Lepisosteus oculatus: one gene and its partner. The protein of the gene in region 1 interacts with the protein of each later gene in a biochemical or structural test. Links are inferred from orthologs where the notes say so. Each region holds a gene or a part of one and is shown on either strand. Other genes may lie near its edges. The genes, in order: hdac5 and sik2a.

Region 1 (12,382 bases):
CTCTGTGCTGGTAGAATCACCATCTTATTGGATGCAAAGACTTAAGAGTGACAATGTACAGACACCTACACACCTTTACACTTCCAGGCTGAAAAGGGAGCAGTATAGCCTGTGTCTGAATTGACTTTATCCACCAGAACATTTTAACTGCCTCTTGCTACAATGAATGAGTACTGAATAAAAAGTAAATGACTACACATAATATCACATGTATAGGCATGATTAGGATTCTGAATTTCCCAAGTTAAGAGTCCAACAACATACCTCTTGTATTGATACAGTTTAATACAGTTGAACAGATAATCAGTTCTCACTAAGTCTACACTAGACCCTAATTTGAGAAATTCCTCTGAGTTTATGGTGCTTATTATGACTGCCTGTAATTATTTAAACACTTGTGTACTTGTGGTTATTATTCATTAAAGACATATCCCTTCTGTGGAAAAGAACAGTCACTTGGTCAAAAGCCAGTGAGTAGAATATCTGGAATATATACAGAACATAGTCAAACCTAAATTGGAAAACTGAAGCACTAATAATTGAGTTAAACAAGCTTTGGAATAACAGTCTATCAGCATCACTTGTGAAATTGAAGAGAAAGTGCCTGGTGAAATCCAACGCAAAAAAACAGTTAATCTAAATGCAAGAGGTTTAGCATTTTTTTCCAACCAGAAAACTGCATTGGTAAAAGGTACATCATGTGATAAAAAAAGAACACCAAACATGTGTAACCCAACATATAATTGAGCAGCAAAAAAGACTTGTTTCAGACACTGGTACCTATAGATAGCACTATACTGTAGATCCTTTTAGATCAATCATGTTAAGGTGGCCTGATGCAGAATCCAGCTGAGACATGAAGAGCTCAGACAGTGCGAATAAACAAAAGCTCCAGCAGGACTGGAACCCGGCTGGTATGCAAGGAGAGAGAGAGAGAGACTCACAGAATTGGCCTGACAGAGGGCATGGGACAGAAGTTCGGGGTTCATCGAGGGGCTCTTGGTGACGTCCTGCTTCCGTTTGGGGACAAACTTGAACTCCTTGCTCTCCCTTTGCTTGATGCGCAGCCTCTGGCCCTCCATGCTGTGCTGGGGCTGAGACAGGGCTGCCTGCTGGCCCTGCTTGTCGCTGAACTCCACGATGGCATAGACACCCTGGGAGACACAGTTGGAGAGAAACAACAACCCACGTCCATACCTGGTCAGTCCCACACTCGACTCTCGGTTGTCCTAGAAACAGATTCTTCCCTCGGCCTTGCATTCCATGCCCTTTGCTTGGACATGAACTAACCCGTTACTAGACTTATGCTTTTTGCACATCTCTTGTTTTGTTCAGATGATACTCCTGCTTTCAGCAGATACCTGTAAAGGATATTTCTTTTGCCTGCATGACATCATTGTAATAACTTCTATTTAAACTGACATGTTAAGTGATGACTAGTTAGTTAATAATAATTCCTCACACTTTTATAGCGCTTTTTTTGGACACCCCACTCAAAGCACTCCCCTCCACCACCACCAATGTGCAGCCCCCACCTGGATGATGTGACGGCAGCCATAGAGCACCAGTACACTCCCCAGTACAGCCCTCAGTGGGGAGGAGAACAGAGCGATGAGGCCAGTTCAGAGATGGGGATTATTAGGAGGCCTTGACTGGCTAGGATGCCAGGGTAACACCCCTACTCTTTTCCAGAAACACCCTGGGATTTTGTCATGACCGCAGAGAGTCAGGATATTATATTTACAAAAACGCACCTTGTCCTTATCCATGATGACTTCGGACACGGGTCCGAAGCGTTGGAGATATTCCATGATCTGCTGCTGCGACGTCCCCTTTTGGAACCCGCTGACGAACACGCTGTTCTCCACCTGGGTCCGGCGAGTGTCCCGGACGGCGCACAGGTTCCGATGTTTACGGCCCTTCAGGTGGTCCTGAAGGCTTGTCCCTGCATAACCACACACGTTACACTCTAGATAAGCAGAAACGTGTGCAGATACAAACGAAACAGGAGCCTTGCGCCGAAACAAACACGGGCATGCATTTCAAACACACGGACGTGCATTAAAAAGGCTAAAGAAAGAGGAAAGCACGTACTGCCCAGTGTTACTGAAAACGCAGGACCAATACAGCCGCTTACTTTTATCATACACGGGCTGTGAGATTCCTTCGCAGCCATAAAACATTTTTTGAATCTATTCGCCTTAACAAAAATGAAATAAACTCTGTTTCTCAAACAATCATGCCACTGCTGTAAACTGCTCTGTAAGTAATGGTGCTGCGCAAACTTGACAAAACTTACTGTTTGGTACACTGACATCACACAAGTTGCAATGGAACCCTCCTTTCGGAACAGGCTGGATATCTGTATCTAACTCCATCTCGATCAAAAGCAAAATATAACAGAAATACGCTTAATCTCTTAACTAAATAAGGATTAAATTAAATCTCCCTCCCTTCCACGCACTCTCCCCTGCCTCATCCCTCCCATCATTTCGCCCCGGTATGGCAACAAAGATAGGAACTTTTAGTTCCGGAGGAACAAGAAGTCCACACGCGGAATTTGCAGAGTCCCACCGTACGAGGGAGACAAAGCTTTATAAAACCCAGCAATTCTCAGGAAATCTCACTGATGTTTTACATCTGCATGTTTTCCGTCTCACATGCACGGTGTATAACGAACAAAAAGCACTAACATATAAATACCACACAAAACAGTTTTATATACATATCACTGCGTCCTATCTGATCAGTTAAAGCTTTTTAAAAGAAAAAAAAACTCTACATTTTAAACAGCAATTTCAGGAGATCGCTAATGATAAAGAAATGTTTGCTCTTGTGTTTTTCTCCTTGTCTTGTACCATTAACATTTTATAAACATTATTGTTGTACAGAGGGGTGGCGGACTTTTTTTGTGTGATATCCAGGCACCAGCATCTCCGTGTAACGCAAACCACACTCTTTGTTTTCAAAGATACACCGGGAGGCGTCGTGGATCTGATACAAAATGGAAAAGAAAGCTCTTCGATTCCAAAGACAATTTCCTGTCATATAAGTAGTTGTGACTTTTTCTTCTTTGTGTGGGATCTATTTTTTCTCATTAAATGCTGCGAAGGGGGGAGATGGGGGGTTGACATTTAGATTTGGCTGTAGAAATCTGACTCACTTGTATGTGAGTCATCCCTCACTTACGAATATAGCGCCTCCTCCCTCTGTTTGAGTCGGAAGTGTCCGCCGATGCAGACAATTTAGCCTCGACCCCGAGCAGTAGGCTTCGTGCCAAAGCCAGACATTAGATAATCATGAAATATACCATTTTCATTTTTGACATATAACATTTTCATATCATTGCTTTCTGATAATCCTTTACTTCTAAAATCGATCAAACAAAAACATTTTGGGGGGGCTAAGTTAGACAAGGTGCAGAGTATTACGAACAGGCAGCAAAAAAACATTAAATACTGTACCAAGTAGGGACATTAAGTTTGAAAAAGCTGCTTTGTGGAAAAAAAGGAATGTGTAAATGTTGACACGCCATTTTCATCTTCCAGACAAAGTTGGAAAGCAATACAAATCAAGGAGAATCTCATTATATATGTTAAATTAAAATTAAGAGATATCATTGCTAAAATTGTCACTAAGTTACAAAAGAGAGAGCTATTTTACAGTGTTCTCAAGATGTGGGAAACTGAAAAAAGCTTCTCGTCCTTTTACCGAGGTTAGAGGATCGATGAGCTACGAACTACCAGACGTGTTAGATTTATGAATGGGCTCCTCTGGTTTCAGACCGTTCCTAACGCTGTAAAGTGGGTTTGGTGATTTGACTACTCTCAAGGACACTCGGGGTTAATAACTTCGTGATTTTTGTTAAAGTGGAGCACAGGCTGAGTTCACACCAGACACAATTAAGTTATAGGATTAAGATCAACAAAAACAAAAGAGTTTATTAGCAAAATATATAGTTCATTTTCCATCTCTCTTTGGACATAATTAAGACGGCAACACTTGCAGAAGTCTAGGTCATTTATCGTCTTGGGCTGCTACTCTTCTTTGTTTCAATACATAGAGCAGACGTCCGCAACGAGTCGAAGGAACGACAGATATCTTCATCTGCTTCCAAAGCACGAGAGCGCTACCGCCGGCATGAAAAGCGCCGCATCGCCATGGAGACGGGTCCTCATCCCTGACTCGCCGGCTGCTGTCCGGGAGCGCTGTGGGTGAGGGGACTGAGGCGGGGTCATTCATCTCGGCCAGCCTGCCACAGAGACTGGCATAGGAAAACCACGCTAATGGGTGAAAACCATTAGTATGTGCGAGAGAAACAATTTACGGGCATCGTGCAGGACGCTTTTTCGTCGAATGGAGCAGAGAGTGTCGAGACGCTTTTGCGTGCACAACAGGGTGAAATGCATTTTAATAATGGAAAAACTTTCCCCCCGCACTGACCTAACGCCCTGTTTTCTGCCACTATATCGAGTTAGAGGGTTGAATTGTAGCTACGCTCACGGAAGATGTTGAAGTGATCAGCGTGAAGGCGCTTTTGAGATAGTTTTCACCGCGAAACTTTGGGTTGCAGAATTGTGTAAGAAGACTGAATCTACTCCGGTGATCAGACTTATTATTTAAATAAACGGTTTTAGAAAGATTAATAATTTGATTTGTCTTAGCACATAATTCGTATCCCATATCCACGTCCTTTGATACTGCCAGAGGAAAAAAAATATTCATGTAATTGTCTTTTTTTTCAGTTATGTATCTACCTTAATGTTCTTTTCGATTTTCTCCTAAAAGGAGGCTTTGACGTCACAAAGCTGCCGTGACTCATTCTTTTGAAGAGCAGGGATGACGTCACCGCATCCCCGCAGGAGTATTGAGCTGTGTTGAATGAGGAAGCTGATGGAGAGCTTGTCAAGGCCCTTTTAACAGCCGCATGATGGGAACACGTGTTGCGTGTCTCTGTCCGCGCAGGCAAGGGCTCGCGGTGTTGCACAACGGTACTTAGAATGCCAGTCATGCTCCCGGCCCCGGGTAACCATGGCAACAAGCATCAAGCTGGAGAACGCATAGTGATGGCACCAATGCTTTCTCTCGGCCTCTGTCCTTTATCATTATGTCTCCATTCCCGAACTTATGTTCACAACTCCCTCCTTTCCCTCTCCCCCCCCAAACTTGTGTCGGCGGCGCGTCGTTTTCCGGCTCGGGATTCGTCGCCCGCTCCTCGGTACTTTTCATAATAAGAGAGCTCCGTGTCTCGAGGGGTCTCCGGGCCGCGGCTCGAGACTCTCAGTGAGACGTGAGACACAACGGGGGGACCGTCTGCACGGACAGGAGCTCGGCAGACTTTATAACTACAGGCGAGCATCTCAGCCACTTCGCTCCGATTGACATGACTAACAAATGCTGTCGTGGGCTTATGTCCAACCATGCAGCCGACAGAAACGCTCCAAAGTTTAGCAAGGTGGGAACCCTTTGACCTGGACCGGCCTGTGACTCGTGGCCGGGAGCATTGGAGTAGATTTAATTGCATGACTCTGAAAGTAGTCCATCCCTGACCTCGAATCACAGCATATCCCCACACAGATCCTCGGGTACTGGCGTGAACTCGCACAACTTCTAAGCACAAGGTCTAAAGCTCGGAAAAAAACTCAAACTACTGCAACCGGGCTCATCATGTTTCTACTGTTCTAACAAGTGCGGATGAGGCTAATGTCAGCGGGAAACGCTGAAAAAGAGATAGTGGATCGTGCCCGTTGTAAATCAGAAACACTGCGAGAACATATATTTAGCGCGCCTTGTGACGCATAAAATATGCTCACTCATTTCCACCCAAAACCCATTTCCATTTCCACAAAAAAAAGAGAACGTGCATCTGGTAAACGACAGACAACTGCCTTCAATGCAGCGCTACAATCGTGGAAATATATATTTTACTAGACGAGCATGAATCGGTGGTAACGTTCTCTCCGAACTTCAAAAGCCGCAGAGGTCTGCATCCGCGCCTGTGCCGAAACGCCGTGTCAACAGCGCAACATTTCGCTGTGTCAGACGTTGACTGGGGAGACAGACCACACGTCAGGAGCGCCAGTCGACGCGAGGTCTGCCACCATACTCAGGTGTGGGTTATCTTCCCACTGTAGGTTATTCAGTGGTTGCAGAGTCTATTTTTAGCACGCGGCCGGGGGGGGGGGGGGTCACGTGACGGGGGAGTGACGTCACGAATGTTGTTGTTGGTGGAGGAGCTGCCAATATGGAGGAAAGAGAGCTGTGACGGGAAAAAAAATACACATACATTTCTTTTTTTTTTTACCCCCCCAAAAAATACACACCAGCTAGCGCATCCGCCGTCGAAGATCCGGACATCTCCTACAGAAAGGCAAACGGGATATCTCCTTGATCATCAGGTAAAGATAGTTTGTTTACTGACACTCATTTTTTTCGGACCGTTCTTTTCAATTGCGAGTACTCGTAACTAAGCGGGTCGGTGCTACAAAAAAATGCATTTATTCAAGAAATGTATCATTTAAGCTTTCACGGCCGCAGCGAGACCACGGTTTGTGAGTATTAACAAGCATTCGGGGGGGGGGGGGACGCGTTTTCCCAGGTGCTGCCGACAGCGATATACACGGATAAAGATAACGATTTGTTACAAAAACAGCGGTCATTTCCTTCTCCAGAATTAGTGCAATTTTTTAAAAGAATTGTGGTAGTGCGCTAAATACGACGCGGTGGGCAGTGCGGTGGTCATTTCTTCGAATGCCGAGTGACTCGTATTTGTATCGGCGGCGATGGCAAAAAGTTGAAGAAATATTCGACCGAGACCCTCGAAAGTCTAAGCAAGGAAATGAATTGACTGTAAATATGTTTTTTTTTTAAGAACTAGTGAGAAAGGTGGACCAAATAAGTCCACCAGATAAGTGAGCAAGTTGCTGTGAGACCGGGCTGTGGTTAAAGATGTTGAGATGATGTTTGTCATGGGTACATAAATCCGAGTTCTCTGTGCAGTGTCTTCATCGAAGTGTTAACACTTTTTCCAGTTGCTGGGTGTTAGAGAAACGACCAGAAACCGGTGGATGCAAATAATATTTCTGCCTTCCTTGTCTCGTTCCTGCAGAACGAGCATGTTATCCGCATGATATGTGGATTTTTTTTTATTTTCAAGTGTCAGTATCTGTTTGTCTCAGTTGTTGCGGTAATTTTTAGATCTCTGGATTGCCAGACGTGACCGGGGGGGTCGTGCATGCGTTAGGAGCTCAGAGCCAGCTCGCAGAAGATGAATTGAGGGGGTTAGCCATATTCATCCATTCTGGGAAAACAGAACATGTAAACTCCACACGCAAGGATCCGAAGTCCAGACTCAAACCCAAGATCTAAAGACCACCTACACCTGCAAGATGCCCACTCCCGGCAGTTTTTAAGCATCATCTATTAAAATCATTTACGACACTCCTGTATGCAAAAACACAGCAAAATATATGTTTATGTAGAGGTCACTGAAACAAATCCGCTTCAAGGAAATGTATCTATCTCTTTTGAAATTTGAATCTCCGAGGTTTTTTTTTAAGCACCGATTTTCTGACCAAGGTCTCACAAAGACTTCTGCACTTGAGAACGAGGGGAGTACAAAGCCAGTGTCATTTAGAAGAATCTGTTCTGGGCAGTATGAAAGCAGGATGGTGGTGGACACGCTGTGCTGCTGTTTTCTTTAAACTGACAGGGGAATATTTTGGAAGATATGGCGTCGCAGAAGTTCGTTACCTCTAGTGTGCCTGGTTTGTGTTTTCTGGACACTCAGCAAATCCTGCATAAACACAGGTCTCAGGCAAGCTCGGTATCATTGTAACTGTGAATTTCAGAGGCACCAAAAAAATAGCCACTTGTGTATTTACAGCCGTGTATTTTTGTATTTATTCACATATTAACTCAGTCACTGATTCAAAATGAAGGAGTCCTAAATGAAACAGACGATCAGCTACATCCAGTGTTTAAAATAGCCCTTGAGATTTGTGGGAGAGTGCAGATTTGCTTAGGAGCACCTAGAACAATCTCTTACTGTATATTCTGCTTCCGACAGAACAATAAATTGTCATCTCCACTGAAAATGCCTTTTATTGACCTCCAGAATTTTTAAAACTGACATGCTGTGTGTTTGGAATTGAGAAGTGTACCTGCTGTAGTGTTAGCTATGACCTTAAATAATATTATACCTCTGTACAGAATGAGCCTAGTTGTGTCTGTGTTCCTGCTTTCCATGTCCATGTTGACACAGGATGGTTCTGTTAGTTTCATAGTAACATTTCATTCTGCTCAAAAGATGCTGCTCAAAAAAAGGAAGAAGAATTTCTATTTGAGCGCAAAGGACTCTGTAAGAGGTCAGTCTAGGATTCTGCTCTGAGATCAGTTTTTTTGCCTCCTGTCCTTTGGAAGCTGCTGTGCCTCTTCCTGCTTTATTCAGAAAATAAAGAAAAGAGATTTCAAATCCTGGTAATCCAATTGGTGTTTTATTGGATTTGCAGTTGTGTTACACTACAGATGGAAAGAAGTCAGGCATTCGCAAGGCAGAGGTTAAATTACTTTATAGCATGTTTTTGATTATTTTTTTCGGATGCCCGTCATCTGCAGGGAGCGAAACACACTGTGCTACGTGATTATTTGTCTGCATAGATCTTTTTATTCTGCCTCTCCTGCGATTACTTGGTAACTTGATTTTAAGCACGTGTCCTGTGTTGTGTTGACTGCTATTGTACTGATATTTTTCAGCAGTATAATCTCCCAGGATCCCTCTGTAAACAGGACCTGCGTCTCAGTGGGTTAACCTTCCTAGTTCAAAACATAGATCAGCACAGGTCTCTCTCACTGGCGCTGGTGTGAGACTGGTGCGTACAGAGATGAAAAAACACTCGCATAGCTGGGGAGAGACGTTCCTGGTTTAACAAGTTGCACGCTCTTGTATATAACCCTGTAACTGTTCGTGTTTCATGATGATCATATTTTGAGCATATTATTCTAGGTAGAAATGGATTTCACATTGTTTATCTACATTGTCAATGCACTTGTGCACAAGCCAGCCACTTCTAGAAACCTGAAATTTCTGTGTATGTGGATCACGGTGCTATGCAGTGGGAGCCTTAATTTCATCTCTGCAGGTACTGTAGGCTCTATCTCGGGTTTTTGTGTACACAAGAGAGCAATAAAAATGTTGTATTCTTGTCAGTGTTTATGTCCACTCTGCAATCAGATCTCTCTGCTCCACGGTACAGAATACACCGCAGACAGATGCACTGATCAGATGCTCTGACGTCTGTATATGTGTGACTTAAAAGTCAAAGGCTGCAGAAGTTAATATGCTGATCGGCCTTGAGATCACGCATTTATGTTTTCTCCTGCTTAGAAAACAAATTGGGCAGTTGTCTAGTAACCACACTATCGCTGGAGAAGACAGCTGCTGGAACATCTCAGGGTGAAACAGCAGTTGATTCAGTGGCTTGCATTTGCAAAGGCATCTGAAAATGTTTAAACTGAATAATGAAATTAGCCATTTTCTTTGTAAATGGCAGGATGGCCTTGTAGTTCTAAGATAGCACAGGCATGTCAAATCCATTGATATATTTGTGTGTGGATTCTCAATGGGAAGGCACAGTGGTACAGTGTTCAGTTCCAGACCTGGGGTGCTATCCGTGTGGAGTTTGTATGTTTTCCCCATGTTTGTGTGGGTTTCCTCCCACAGTCCAAAGACATGCGGGTAGGTTAACTGACTTCTGGGAAAATCGACCCTGATGTGAGTGTGTGTGTGTCTGTGTGCCCTGTGATGGACTGCCATCCAGTCTAGGGTGTACCCTGCCTTGTGCACGTTGCTTGCCTGGATGATCGGATTCACAGTGTAAATGTCTTTTGGCTGTTGGTGGTGATGTCTTTCTGTATATTTTTGTGAAGCACTGCTTATTGCAAAAGGCCAATTGTATTTTAAGTTAGAAAGGAATATCTACTAATACAGACCCATCCCTTTAAACGGAGGGGCATGATCGCATATCAGGACCTGTTGTTTTTATTTAGTAATTAGAATCAATTCACTTCGTTTTTAAAGCATGGCTGGCAGTCTAACATTGTGGTCGGAGTAGAATGGTGTCTTTTTTTTTTGTTTTGGAAGCAAGGCTGCTGTTTCGAGCTGTTCGATGCCCCGCAGATTAAGGAGTAGCTAAACAGCGCAGACTCCCAGCCATCTCACTTGATTTCATTTTGGCAGAGACGCAGCACAGCCCGCTGTGGCTCCCAGTCATGTTTGGAGGCTTTGCGAGGGGAAACTCTCTCGATGAGGCCCAGTGGGGTGGCTGGGAAGAACGGACCAAGTGATGAGTGCAGAACCTTCAACCATCTTGGGACAGCCTGTCTGGAGCAGCACGCAGAACACAGCAGGCTGTGTGTGTGCTTGCATGCCTGTTGTTCTTTAGAAGAAATGCGAAGGGAGCTCAGACATCTTTCTCTCCCAGCTGGTGTGAAGCCCCGCGGCGAGGTTGAAGGGAAAGCCTCTGGGGGGCTAGTGGCTTGCAGGGTGCTTGCGTCCTGCCCAGCTAGAAAGCAGCGTGCAGCGAGTTGTCTGTCTGCAGAGGCCCGGGCAGTGGGGCGGCACGGTGCTGCCATTTGGCGGCCTGGCCGCGCCAGTCTCCCAGATTTGGAGTTCGGCCGGGAAAGGAGTAAAATCTTCAGGGCAGCGGAAAGGCAGGCACTGTTCTTCCGATTGCAGGGGAATCAAGTCAACAGAAACTCTGGGCGAAAAAAACCCCAACAAGCCCCAGCAGCAGTCTTGCCCTGTTCCTGTCCGCCAAGGCCAGGATAATGTCAGCCCGTCGAGGCGTTCCTTACTGAGAGAGAGCGCAGCTGGTGGCAGCTCTCCATGAGGCCAGGACAGTCACCTGCAGCAAGGGACATGCCTGGGCTTCGTGGCTGGAGTGAGGAGTCAATGACTGGATTTATTTTGGGCCTAATAAGTAGCGTCAACTGGCCAGCAGCCACATCGCCCTGCAGCTCACAGCATGCAGCCCCGCTGAAGCTCAGTACCTGGATGGGAGGCTCCTGGGAAGCTATGGTTGCTGCTGGAAGAGCTGTTAGTGGGACCAGCAGGAGGTGCCCACCCTGCGGTCTGTGTGGGTCCTAATGCCCAGGTATAGTGGTGGGGACACTATACTGTAGTGGGTGCCGTCTTTCAGATGAGATGTTAAACCGAGGTCCTGACTCTCTGTGGGCATTTAAGATCCCCGGACATTTCTCGAGAAGAGGAGGGAGTTATCCCGGTGTCCGGGCTGAATTTCCCCCCTTGGCCTTTACTGTGGCCTCCAAATTGTCCCCCTGTATGATGGGCTTGCACTGGCCCTGCGATGGACTGGCGTCCTGTCCAGGGTGTACCCTGCCTTGCGCTCGTTGCTTACTAGGTAGGCTCTGGCTTCCCTCGACGCCGTACGGTAAAAAGCAGTTTGGCAAATGACATGACGTGACAGGTAGTGTATTCTGTCTGTAGACCTTCAGCTCTTTCAGCTCTTTCCCGTCTCTCGTGGGAAATCTCATTCTACTTCTCTTTCAGTGCCGTAGCTCTTCCTACAGCTTCCTTTGGTATCGGCTTCTGAAAACACTGGCGGTTTTGGAGGGCACGACAGAAAAATGCCATGTGAGCGCCGCGCAGGAGGCTCAGAAGAAAAAAAAACGTTTCAGGCTCAAGTAAACTGCCAGTGATTGTTTTAAAGGGCCTGATACCCAATCACATATGCAATCGCTACAGTGAGGATCCAGCCTGCCAGAGCCGCGCCGACAACAGCTGGGATCAGAATGCTGGTGTCTCCAGCAGACTCCAGCAGCCATGCAAGTTTGTTTATCGGGAAATGAAACCCTTGTTTTGGGCCCCTGATGCCAGTCTGTGCACCCTGTAGCTGCTGGTCCCCAGAAGTGCCCTCCCCTTTTCTTCCCTTGGGGACGATGGCAGGTGGATGGGTTAGGCTCTGTCTTGGGTGCAGAAGACGACGTGTCCCAGCCCTTCGCTGGCTGTTGCAGCATCACCCAGACTTTTGTATGTACAGCTGTTTCTTGCTGCTGCCAGAGAGGAGGAGTCGAGTCCGCCTCTCTGTTTGCTGTAACATTGCTGGTCTTTATGTAGTATTTACTGTCGGCTTTGGGGCTGATGGCTGACAGACCCTGTCAAAATAGGCTGAAGATTTTTGTTTTGCAGGTGGCGGGGGGCTTAATATCAGCTGAAGAGTCAGCTGGCCTGAAGGCTGCACTGTGCCTTTATGAAAATGCTGAGGAACTTGCCAGGAGCATAATTTGTTCTTTTGTAGCATGCAAACCCTGAATAACCCTGTCCTTGGTGTTAGTAGGTCTGTCTTGCGTGGTTTTTTTTTTC
Region 2 (12,000 bases), on another chromosome or scaffold:
GGAAAGCTCATTCCAAATGCCCAAATTAGGAGTTGTTTTTCTCTCTACAAACATTTCTTTGTAATTGACCACGTTATGCTTCAGAAGCAATTCTACCTTGTAGGCAGACAAAATGAAGTATATAAATACAAGGTGTGAAATTTAGCTAGACATTCTGCAGTTTCTAGCTTTAGCATCAAAACATCAAATAATATGCTTGCAATAGTTCTTTCATACTGTTGCTAGTTAAAAGGGATTTTTCAAAGCCAACTTGTCACTATCTTATATACTTACAAAAAGGTAAATGTTAAAATTCTTCCTCACAAGCAATGAAGGGACATGGCATTTGTCTGTGACCTGACATTTGAGCTGCGAGGAGACCTTGTGTTTTTTCGTCTTACTAACCAACCTCTCAAGGGTCCTAATGCGGGAGGTTTTCCCGATTGCATACTGTTTGTGTTGATGCTGTCTTTTCTTCATGTACAGGAGCCACACTGGTTCATTAACAGAATCGCACATCTTTACAACAATCTTAACATTGTACCTCCATTCCTTCACTTTTTTAACCAACCTAGACTTGACACAAATCACGGCTGGTGGCTGATGGGCGATCATGAGGTTTATCACTATGAAACTTATTTGGTTAAATCCAGAATGTCATTCTTGTGTGCATTTTGTCCGCGTTCATGCGTTTGTTTGGCCATGTGGCCAGGATTTTGGGCCAGGAGATTCGCCTATCCTGGCCAACGGTGGGAAACCCTGTAAGGCTCTGCTTTCTGAAGCTGTGTGTCAGTAACTCTTCACCTCACTGGGGAAGGGTCATGGGCAGAACTGAGGCTGGGCTGGTCAGTGTGTGCTCCTTAGGCTTGCATGTCTGCTTCGTACCCATTGCATTCGCTCACACTGGGCGGGGATCTGAGGTATAATCTCTACCTGTGTTTCTGATCTTTGCAGAGAAGGGGCCTGTCTCTACACCCACTGCGAATTCCACTCATACTGGTAGGTGCACTGACCCTGCACTGGGGGAGACACCAGGGGGATGGTGGGATAGCACTGGCCGCAGGGGTTGGCAGCTTGTGTAAAGACCTGTCCGTCCGTCCCCCCTGAGCTCGGAGGACCATGGCCCCCGTGCTTGTGGCCGGGAGAGAGGTGGGCAGTGTGAACCCAGGGCTGCAGCACATTTCCCCCTTCACTTAATACTCGGCCACACCCAGACCATCCACCTTCCGCCCTCACCCACTCCCTCACACAGGGCTTTCCCACATCCAGGGCTCCACCTGCCTCCGCGAGACAGCTCCGCGGGCTTGAGAGCCGGAGACAGAAACCTCTGCGCCAGTGGGAGAGCCAGAGACGCAGGGAGCCTGGGGCTGTGCTTCCCGGAGCCGGGCTTCACGTTGAAGTCAAGTGGCTGTGCTCCGAGGATCTGGCCTGGATGCAAAGCAGCATTCCAGCGCTCTTTAATGTCACTGGGGACATCTAGTGGGGGGCTGAGGAAATCGCAGTTTCAGTCAGCTCCAGGTCAGCTGGAGTCGAGCGGGGGTAGACATGGGCCAAGAGCGTTTTGTTTCCGTGTTTGTGTGAGTCCACTTTCTCATTTTGAATTCGATCTGATCATGTCCAACCCAGTTTAAATATGGTGATTGTGTTTATTCATATTAATATATATATTTATAAATTTGTATTCAGAATGAAATTCATGTTAATAACATAAGATATGAAAATATTATTATAGCCAGCAGCCATGTCACCCACAGCTCCCAGCTGGCAGCCCCACTGAAGCTCAGCAGTGTGAGCCTGGCCAGTACCTGGAGGGGAGACTCCTGGGAGAGCTGAGGCTGCTGCTGGGAGAGGTGTCAGTGGGGCCAGTAGGGGGCGCTCACCCTGCGGTCTGTGTGGGTCCTAATGCCCCAGTACAGTGATGGGGACATTATACTATAAAAATGTGCTGTCCTTCAGATGAGACGTAAAACTGAGGTCCTGACTCTCTGTGGTCATTAAAAATCCCAGGATGTTTCTCGGAAAGAGTAGGGGTGTTACCCCGGTGTCCTGGCAAATTTCCCCCCTGGCCTTTCCCAGTCATGGCCTCCTAATAACCCCCGTCTCTGAACTGGCCTCATCACTCTGCTCTCCTCCCCACTGAGAGCTGGTGTGTGGGGAGAGGACTGGAGCATCATCCAGGTGGGGGTACACACTGGTGGGGGTGGAGGGGATCCCCATGACCTGTAAAGAGCTCTGAGTGGAGTCTCCAGAAAAGCACTATATAAGTGTGAGGAGTTATTATTATATTCTGGGGAAGTTGGTTCAGCTCATCATATCCGGGGTATTTTAAAATGACCCAGTTGCAGAGCCCCTGGTTGCTGTTGCTCCAGTCTTATCCCTGTGGGGAACAGTGCCTCCTGCAGGGCGGGCGGGCATGCCCCTCCCAGTCTCACCACTTCCACTGTGAACTGTGGGGGAGATGGGAATGGGACGGGAAGGGGATAGGAGTGTTCACTACAGGAACAGAAGGGTCTGTTATCAAACTCCTTTTATTTCCTACTGCTAACAAACGGCTATCTGGAGAGAAAGGAGGCCACCCACTGGCTGCCGTGTGTTTCCAAACCCTTACCTTCTTGTTCTTCTGAAACGCTCGTCTTGCAGAAGCTGCAGCTACGTCTCCAAGGCCAAAGTACCCTCCGGTCACGGACAGGGAGGAGAAGGTCGACGTGCTGATGACCAAGTCAAAAGGTAAGGGGGCGTCCCGTTGCAAGGAAGGGGTGCTTTTGAAAAACAGTTGGTGCCAAGTGAGCTTTACGGATAACGCCCACATCCTGCCCTCGGCCTGCAGGTCTCCACCGACCTGGCCTGGACTGAAAAATTGTAATTTCCCCCCTGGTGTCCCCGGGTCCTTGTTGATCCTGAAGCTGTAGATTGACTTGGTCCATGCCTTTTATATTCCTGAGTCCCGGCATCCAGCCCCTTCTGTTTTCCTTCTGTAAAAGACCGGAAAGATTAAGCTCCTTCCGATGCTTCCCTCGCAGACAACATCCTCAACATCGTGTACATCGTCATCCCCACCATCCCCCTCCTGCTGCTCCTGCTGGTGGCCACCGGCGTCTTCTGCTTCCGGCTCTTCGCCAGCAGGTAAGAGGCCCTCCGCCCTCCTTGCGCCAGTCCCGCCCTCCGCCCTTGAGGTCCACGCAGCTTGGCGACCCGCGCGACCCCGCCCGCTGACCCCGGCGCCTGTCTGCTTGCCGCGCAGGAGGAAGGAGCGCACGGAGGCGTGTCACAAGGAGCCCACCCTGTGGATGTCGCCGGACCGCGCCAGCAGCCCCAGCCTGGACGTGTACCACGTCATCCGCAAGCAGCACGAGGCCGACCTGGCGGGCACGCGGCCGGACATCAAGATCACCTCGTTCAGGGGCTCCTCCCCGGCCGGCGGCGCGCCCGACGACCAGCTCTCCAGCGACTACGACAACATGGCCGGCAACACCTCGGAGAGCGGCTTCGCCACGCTGGCCAGCACCGAGAGCGGCTTCGTCACCAACGACATCTACGAGACGTGCCAGGGCCGCGGGCGGCCGAACCGGGAGTCCGGCTGGGTGGAGAACGAGATCTACGGCTACTAGGCCCCGCCCCGGTCCCCCCCCCGCCATCCCGCCGCCCCCCAAAACCAATCTGATCTTGCTCTCGCGTATACGGGGCAGCTGTCGCTGCGCAGAACTCCCTGCTGGCTCCGTTATCGGCTATCCTGCTGCAGATGCAAGACCTGGAGAAGTCTCCGGGTCATCGCCCAGAGTGTCGGCCTCAACAGCCCCAACAACCTCTGCCACCCCCACCTCCGCAGGCGCCGGGAGCTGTTCAGCTCTTCCGGCCTTTTTTTATCAACAGACCCGCCAGATCCAGACGCAGTCGCCAGCTGATGGAGAAGAGAACTGCTCCTGACCGGCAATTGTATCTCCCCGACTGCTCTATCCGGACTGGAATACTGCCCCAGAGGGAACCAAACACACCCATGGCTCCTTCGACAAATACTCAGCTGCTTCCGTCTGCAGAACACGGAGAAACCGTGCCAGGAACCCCCGATGATACAGTGCTGGCAGCCGCGCCTGCCTGGGTTTGCACCAGAAGGTCTAAAGACCCGCGCGTGCGGACCCCTTGCGCAAGCCCACTCCCAACTCCGGCCTGACGCTCCCAACAGTCCGCCGGTGCCCGACCGCGCGCCCTGCACTCTGGAAGTCGGAAAACTGGAATGTGTTTGCTGTATCCAATCATGTACACGGAACTGAAATAAACAATGAGAACAACCCAGTTGCCTGGTGCTTGTGTATGTGAGTGAGCCGCGTGCGCCTCTGGTGTTTTGCAGGGCCGTGAGTGGACGCCGGCCTGCAGGGGGCGGTGTGTCGCAGCTGACGGACCAGGCAGGGGACGTCGTCGCCCCCCCCCCCCCTCCCCCCAGATCAGTCAGGTGACGATGCACATCTCTTCAGGGGGCCAACAGGGTGGGTGGAGGCCCTCTGAGGAGGTACTTTTCTCACAGACATTCGCTCACAGACATTCTGGGTCATCGGATTAGATGCTCCACATTGATACCTCTGACACTCGGGCTCCTTTCCCCTGTTCTCTGAACGGAGTTGAAGCTCTTATCTATTCATTCCACAGAATGATTTAAATCTGAATCCAAATGCTGCTTCTTGGAAACTTGGGCAAAAAAAGAACACATAGGTGGGAATTATGGGGAAATGCACTTAAAAACAATACCAGGAGGCACTTCTTTCCTTACGCAAAGGATCGTGGGAGTCTGGAACAAGCTGTCCTGTCCTGCTGTTGAGACCAGTACTCTGGTTTGTTTCAGGAAATGACTGAATGAGGTCCTGGGATCATTTACTGTAACTACTAACTACCAGGTGGCCTAACGGGGCCGGTTGGCTACTTTCATTTGTAGCTGTTCTTGTGTTCTTCTGCTCACAGCAGAGCAGAAGGGATTCAAAAGAACTGATTGGGTGTGTTAGTGGAGAGGCATCACCAGGGGAACTTTGACAGGCAAGAATGTCAGTCAGTTCTGTTGCAAATTGGGGGGGCATTAACAACTATTATGGTCCAGTGCTTTTCAATAGGCTTGATTAAATGAATATTTAATTTGCACAAACGTTAACAGCTAGGGAGGCCCAGTGGCCCAGTGCCACTGCCTCTGCCCACTGCCTCACGGCGCTGGGGCCCTGGGTTCAATTCCAGACCCGGGGGGCTGTCTGTGTGGAGTTCGCATGTTTCCCCAGTGCTCATGCTGTGCTTTCCTCCCACAGTCCATGCTGGTAGTTTCAGTTGCTTCTGGGAAAACCGGCCCGGGTGTGAGTGCGTGTCTGTGCCTGTGTGCCCTGCGATGGTCTGATGTCCCCTCCAGATTGTACTCTGCCTTGTGCCTGTCTCTGGCTGGGATAGGCTCCAGCTTCCCGGCTGAACTGGAAGAAGAGGTCAGAAAATGGATGGATGTTAACAGCTAGTATTTCTACATCAGAGGTGATAAATACTAGGAACTGACCCTGTGTTCTAGTTTCTTCCCTGAACTGCATTCTTACGTAACTGAGCTCAGTAACTTGTCCATGTGGCTGCGGAACAATACACAATAAGGCGTCTGGGGGAAGTCACTCTGTGCCCGAGGCCGATTCCCCACATCTCGCCCCCCCACTGCGTGCGCTCTGCCTGCAGTACCCGCCGGCCGCCGGCAGGGGGCAGCGCTCCCCCGCCGAAGCCGAGTGCGGGATCGCGGAAGAGAAGACCCCGCGGCGGCCCTGGCTGTGTCGACAGAGGCTGCAGCTCAGCGGGTTGACAGTCAGACTCTACACGCAACAATAATGTTCGAGTCTGCTTGCGGGTCCAGGGTGCTATTCAGAGCGAATTAAAATTGCGTTCTGTGTTGGGGGAGACAGGCATAGATACGCGTGCACGTTTCTTGTTACATTGTTTTGGTTGGTGCTTTTCGTGTAGGCTTAGGATCGCAGGTAACTCGGAAATACTCATTACAGCGGCCTGAATAATTGAAGAATGCAGCAGAAACCTGGGGCGAAGCGCGGGGTGCAGGGAACATTTTCTTCTGCGTGCTTCAGTGCGGAGCACAGTACGAACGTGGCAAAATAAAATAAAAACAACACCGTATAATAAACTTCACCACGATAAACTGCCATTATAACACAACAGGTTGTAGCTACAGCGTTTGCGACCAAGACAGGTTGCAGCCAGACGGCACTTCAAAAGAGCGGGAGTGCTCGGCGGACACGCTTAAGATCGTCTACCTAACACAGAGGCACAAGGTCAACAGTATGTTAACAGCTTTGAAATGCACATTTTAAAGCCCTCCCCTCCAAAAACAAAACAAAACAAAAAAAGCTCCGAGCCGCTCAACAAAAGGTATTATCACAGCTCCCATCTGCAGACCCGCGGCGAGCGCGCCGGCCGAGCGCGCAGATTGACAGCTTTTAGAATAGCACTCGCCGGCGGTTGACGTCAGAGGTGGATCTGGTCGTCTTGGAGACGAATTGGCACCGGAGTGTGGAACGGCTTCAAAGGCCCGCCCCCTGTACAAATACCCCCAGCGGCTCTGACGTCAATGGACGTCAACCAGGGAACACGATGCCTTCTGCTCGAAGTCAGCCCGTGCAGTCTGCCCAACAGGGCTGAAACATTATAGCCCTTTTGTATTGGAAAGGGCGGCGTGACAGATTCCTGTCCCACCGGTAAATGTCCTGTCTCCCTTCGGCTGGACTGAGGACGCTGTCAACCTTCAAGCTGGCTCGGGAAGCGGGGATTTTACTGCGCCTCTTTTTAATAGACAGTTCCTAGCGCCCGGCTGGGTTTTTTTTTCCTGCTTCTTCGTCTTCTTCCTTGTGGCTCAAGCCGTGCGGTACCCCGCTTTTCTCTCTCCCCCTCTCCCTCCCCCCCCGACCCTCGACCCTCTTCACCCCTTCGGAACAGCATGGTCATGGCGGATACTCACCAGAAACCGACGCACCGCGGTCCGGTCCGGGTGGGCTTCTACGATATCGAGCGCACTTTAGGCAAAGGGAATTTCGCGGTGGTGAAGCTGGCGAGACACCGCATCACCAAGACCGAGGCAAGTACTGTGCAATGGACCGCGGCTCGGCTCGGGTCCGCTCGGGTTCGGCTGTCACGGCCCGGGCGCGGGGTCTGACCCAGGCGCGCGGGCGGCGCTCGGCTGCAGCGTCGTGAACTGAGCCGGAGCCGGAGCCGGAGCCGGAGCTGTGCGGGGCGAACTCTCGGACCGGGTCAGCTCGTACACTGGCGTGCTCAGAAACCCATTCACACCCCGAGCCCGCCGCCAAGCCGGGGAATACGGGCTGCAGTTTTTAAAGTGGAGCTGGGGGGAGGACTGCCGGAGCCGGGGCGCCCCGAAGCTGTGGAAGTGTCCCGGAGTTAGTTCAGGGCAGGGTGAGGCCAGCTGCCCTGCGGCTGCAAGCCCCCGGTCCGGGCTCTAGAGTCGGCGGCACAGCCGTGCAGAAGTTGCACGGCTGGTGAACATTTGCACACAACACCCCTTGACTGTCACGACACAGCGCCGTGAAAATAATGAGACATTGATGATGATAATAACACACACCGTGAAGTTTAATTTCAGACTAGGAGACTCAGCACTGGGAGCAGGTCACTCTCGGATATTCGTAACTGGGTTTTGCACGACAACTCGCAAAGATGAAAAAAAAAGGGCTGCGCTCGGTCCGCCGGCTTATGCAATGTGACAGGGCGATGTAAACAGCCGCGGTTTTGGGGGCATGGTCACTCTGAGCACGGAGTTACATAATGCTCATGAATGATATCAGGGGGAGAAAGCACATTTTCTGTCCCCCCAACGCCTGTGCTGGCGGCGGCGGGAGTCTGACAGGGGCAGCCCGGCTCCTGTCGGGGTGTCGCGGGAAGTAGCGGTGCCAGGGGCGGCTGCACACAAGCGCTCCGGCCGCAGGTGTCCTCTTATAAAGCGGCACTGGCGGCAGAAAGCGCGTTTTCCGTCTCCCTGGAAGTTTGTGTTTGTGTTCCGGAGAAGCCGAACAGACCTCTAAGAGCGCGCAGACGGCCGACAGTCGCACTGAAAGACGTGTATCGTGATTTCTCACGCTCCTCGTCTTGTTATAATGATCGTTGTTGTTCTGTTTTTGCTGCTCCGGGTTGCCTGCCCGGCCCCCCGCACAGTTTGTCGTCACCTGTGAAACAACTGGTCGTGTTTGAAGTTTCCCGTGAAAGAAGATAAAAATACAGTAAATACACTGAAACCCGATTGTATCACTGCAGTGGTAATAACAAACCCGCCCTAATAAGAACTCCGTCGTGACACCAGGAATAATAAAGAACTGTATTTATATAGCGCCTTTACAGGTGGCTTCTCAAAGCGCCTTTGCAGAACGACGACGACACAATACACAAGATATGCACAATGAGAATACACAGTGAGAGGAGACAGTAGTGGGGATACTGAATACAGCAGGAGCAGAAGCAGTTCTGTTCAGTCCAGTCCTGTTTAATTCATAAAAACGAATTAGCGTGATATTTAATTGCTTCTTAGTGTTTTTTTTTTTACAGTTCGGATAACTATAATAGACTATCAACCTTTTTTGTTCAGAACATGCAGCTCGTGTAAACTATTAGCAATTAATGGCTGAATTTGAAGGAATATTATATGTTGTACGTCAAATGTCAAGACTACTCTTGTTACACGTGTCAGCGGGCAACTGCAAATCTGATTATTAATTGCTGTCTTCTTTAGGCTAATGAATTTCCGTGCCCTGTGCTGCTGGCTGCACTAACAACCCCCAGGCGAAGCTCTTTCTTGGCGGCGTGGCTCATTAGCGTTCCCCAGGGCCGGGGTTAAAGGTCCCCGGATAGCAATGTACTGTAGGACCGGAGTAAGCTTTTAATTAAGAGACATCGCTTTCTGTATGTTTCGGGGTGGGTTTTTTTGTGTGTGGAGTTTTCCAGAGCAAGCGGCGATCGCCTTTTTTGTACGCGTTCTTACACTTTCACCAAAAGACGGTCCCCAACCCCCCGGAGTGGCGAAGGCAAATATGACCGTGTTGGGTGCGTGAATTTGCCCAGAGACGGACGACTTTCCTGCTCGGTGCCGAGCTGTGATTGTTAAGTGTCTGTCCTGTGGAGCCGGAGGTTGTTGACTTTTTCAGGTTTGCGGGATTAAGATTATGCTCAGTCGCCCGTGTCAGGATGCTCCTCCGGGCTCCCTGGAGCACAAACTTGGTTTAACGTCTGAGATAAAAGGTAGAGATGTGGGTGTGATTTGTTTTTGTTCCAGGCAAAAAACCGGTGAGATATGTTTTTGACGCGACACCTGGCGCGATTGAAGTGTTTCATCCCACAAGTGTCCACAGCCTGTAGCGCCTCCGCTGCGTCACAACCGCGACGTTACAACGGCCGAGAAGCCGCCGGCGTTGAAATGGCGGGGTTTGTTCTTGATAACCCAATAAATAACCTCCAGTGGAGAGCTTAATGCGCAGCTATAGACACTGTAAGGATGCAAAGGCTATTCGAGGAATGAGATCAAATTATTTTATTGCGTTAAACCTTAATTTGTGAAGCACGCGAACGAAGAGAAATAAAGGTTTTCCAAGGAATTCGTTCGGTAATTATCGTTATTATTATGTAGTTGTTTTAAAGAATTGTTTGAAAAGAGGTTGTTTGTGACGATGGTATTTTCTGAAATTGGCAGATATTTATGGAGAGAACAGCTGCCCCCACCGTGACTGTCCTGCTTTGCGGCCCTGAAGTATCTTGATTACAGAAGTGATTGTCTCTACCCAGTCCCTCCCCAGAGCAGTACGGTCGGTCAGCGGTCCCTGGTCCCTGTGGATCTGTGTGGAGAGGAGAGGTTAGGGAGTGAGGCCTTTTGAGGTAGCTGAGCGAGAGGAGAGAAGGGGTTCTGTACTTTGGGGTAGATGGGTAACCACACTTTGTTGTTGTCTGTGCTGTACTGTAGACACACAGACAGAGCTCCTGTTGCCTGTGCTGTACTGTAGACACACAGACGGAGCTCCTGTTGCCTGTGCTGTACTGTAGACACACAGACAGAGCTCCTGTTGCCTGTGCTGTACTGTAGACACACAGACAGAGCTCCTGTTGGCTGTGCTGTACTGTAGACACACAGACAGAGCTCCTGTTGGCTGTGCTGTACTGTAGACACACAGACAGAGCTCCTGTTGGCTGTGCTGTACTTTAGACACACAGACAGAGCTCCTGTTGCCTGTGCTGTACTGTAGACACACAGACAGAGCTCCTGTTGCCTGTGCTGTACTGTAGACACACAGACGGAGCCCCTGTTGCCTGTGCTGTACTGTAGACACACAGACGGAGCTCCTGTTGTCTGTGCTGTACTGTAGACACACAGACGGAGCTCCTGTTGTCTGTGCTGTACTGTAGACACACAGACGGAGCTCCTGTTGCCTGTGCTGTACTGTAGACACACAGACAGAGCCCCTGTTGCCTGTGCTGTACTGTAGACACACAGACAGAGCCCCTGTTGCCCTGTGCTGTACTGTAGACACACAGACAGAGCTCCTGTTGCCTGTGCTGTACTGTAGACACACAGACAGAGCTCCTGTTGCCCTGTGCTGTACTGTAGACACACAGACAGAGCTCCTGTTGCCTGTGCTGTACTGTAGACACACAGACAGAGCTCCTGTTGCCTGTGCTGTACTGTAGACACACAGACGGAGCCCCTGTTGTCTGTGCTGTACTGTAGACACACAGACGGAGCCCCTGTTGCCTGTGCTGTACTGTAGACACACAGACGGAGCTCCTGTTGCCTGTGCTGTACTGTAGACACACAGACGGAGCTCCTGTTGCCTGTGCTGTACTGTAGACACACAGACGGAGCTCCTGTTGCCCTGTGCTGTACTGTAGACACACAGACGGAGCTCCTGTTGCCTGTGCTGTACTGTAGACACACAGACAGAGCTCCTGTTGCCTGTGCTGTACTGTAGACACACAGACAGAGCTCCTGTTGGCTGTGCTGTACTGTAGACACACAGACGGAGCTCCTGTTGCCTGTGCTGTACTGTAGACACACAGACGGAGCTCCTGTTGTCTGTGCTGTACTGTAGACACACAGACGGAGCTCCTGTTGTCTGTGCTGTACTGTAGACACACAGACGGAGCTCCTGTTGCCTGTGCTGTACTGTAGACACACAGAGCTCCTGTTGCCTGTGCTGTACTGTAGACACACAGACAGAGCTCCTGTTGCCTGTGCTGTACTGTAGACACACAGACAGAGCTCCTGTTGCCTGTGCTGTACTGTAGACACACAGACGGAGCTCCTGTTGTCTGTGCTGTACTGTAGACACTCAGACGGAGCTCCTGTTGCCTGTGCTGTACTGTAGACACACAGACAGAGCTCCTGTTGCCTGTGCTGTACTGTAGACACACAGACAGAGCTCCTGTTGGCTGTGCTGTACTGTAGACACACAGACAGAGCTCCTGTTGGCTGTGCTGTACTGTAGACACACAGACAGAGCTCCTGTTGTCTGTGCTGTACTGTAGACACACAGACAGAGCTCCTGTTGCCTGTGCTGTACTGTAGACACACAGACAGAGCTCCTGTTGCCTGTGCTGTACTGTAGACACACAGCCAGAGCTCCTGTTGCCCTGTGCTGTACTGTAGACACACAGACAGAGCTCCTGTTGCCTGTGCTGTACTGTAGACACACAGACAGAGCTCCTGTTGCCTGTGCTGTACTGTAGACACACAGACAGAGCCCCTGTTGCTTGTGCTGTACTGTAGACACACAGACAGAGCCCCTGTTGCCCTGTGCTGTACTGTAGACACACAGACGGAGCTCCTGTTGCCTGTGCTGTACTGTAGACACACAGACAGAGCTCCTGTTGCCTGTGCTGTACTGATAATGCACTTCATGCAGTGTAATTCTCAGTTTTCATTATCAGTCCATCCTCGAGTATAATATAATATTTGGCAACCCAATTGTAATAGTACGGCTCACGCTATCATACATACTGTATCTGTTGATTATAGAG

What was found.
Region 2: of the proteins of hdac5 (region 1) and sik2a, one has a biochemical effect on the other in vitro, tested with the Homo sapiens proteins (2 studies listed by BioGRID). The link is inferred for Lepisosteus oculatus from reciprocal best matches to the Homo sapiens genes HDAC5 and SIK2.

Annotation. Positions count from the first base shown.
Region 1 is NC_090723.1:7,407,767-7,420,148, reverse strand, and holds the start of hdac5 (histone deacetylase 5), read left to right. Parts: upstream 1-6,199; 5' UTR 6,200-6,215; coding exon 6,216-6,398; intron 6,399-12,382. Other genes in the region: tut1 (speckle targeted PIP5K1A-regulated poly(A) polymerase), read right to left, coding at 945-1,154, 1,755-1,945, 2,300-2,378. UniProt on the Homo sapiens protein: Responsible for the deacetylation of lysine residues on the N-terminal part of the core histones (H2A, H2B, H3 and H4).
Region 2 is NC_090718.1:15,493,447-15,505,446, reverse strand, and holds the start of sik2a (serine/threonine-protein kinase SIK2), read left to right. Parts: upstream 1-6,558; 5' UTR 6,559-6,928; coding exon 6,929-7,066; intron 7,067-9,118; exon of another isoform or gene 9,119-9,595; intron 9,596-9,653; exon of another isoform or gene 9,654-9,864; intron 9,865-12,000. Other genes in the region: layna (layilin), read left to right, coding at 934-978, 2,620-2,706, 3,000-3,102, 3,221-3,587. UniProt on the Homo sapiens protein: Serine/threonine-protein kinase that plays a role in many biological processes such as fatty acid oxidation, autophagy, immune response or glucose metabolism.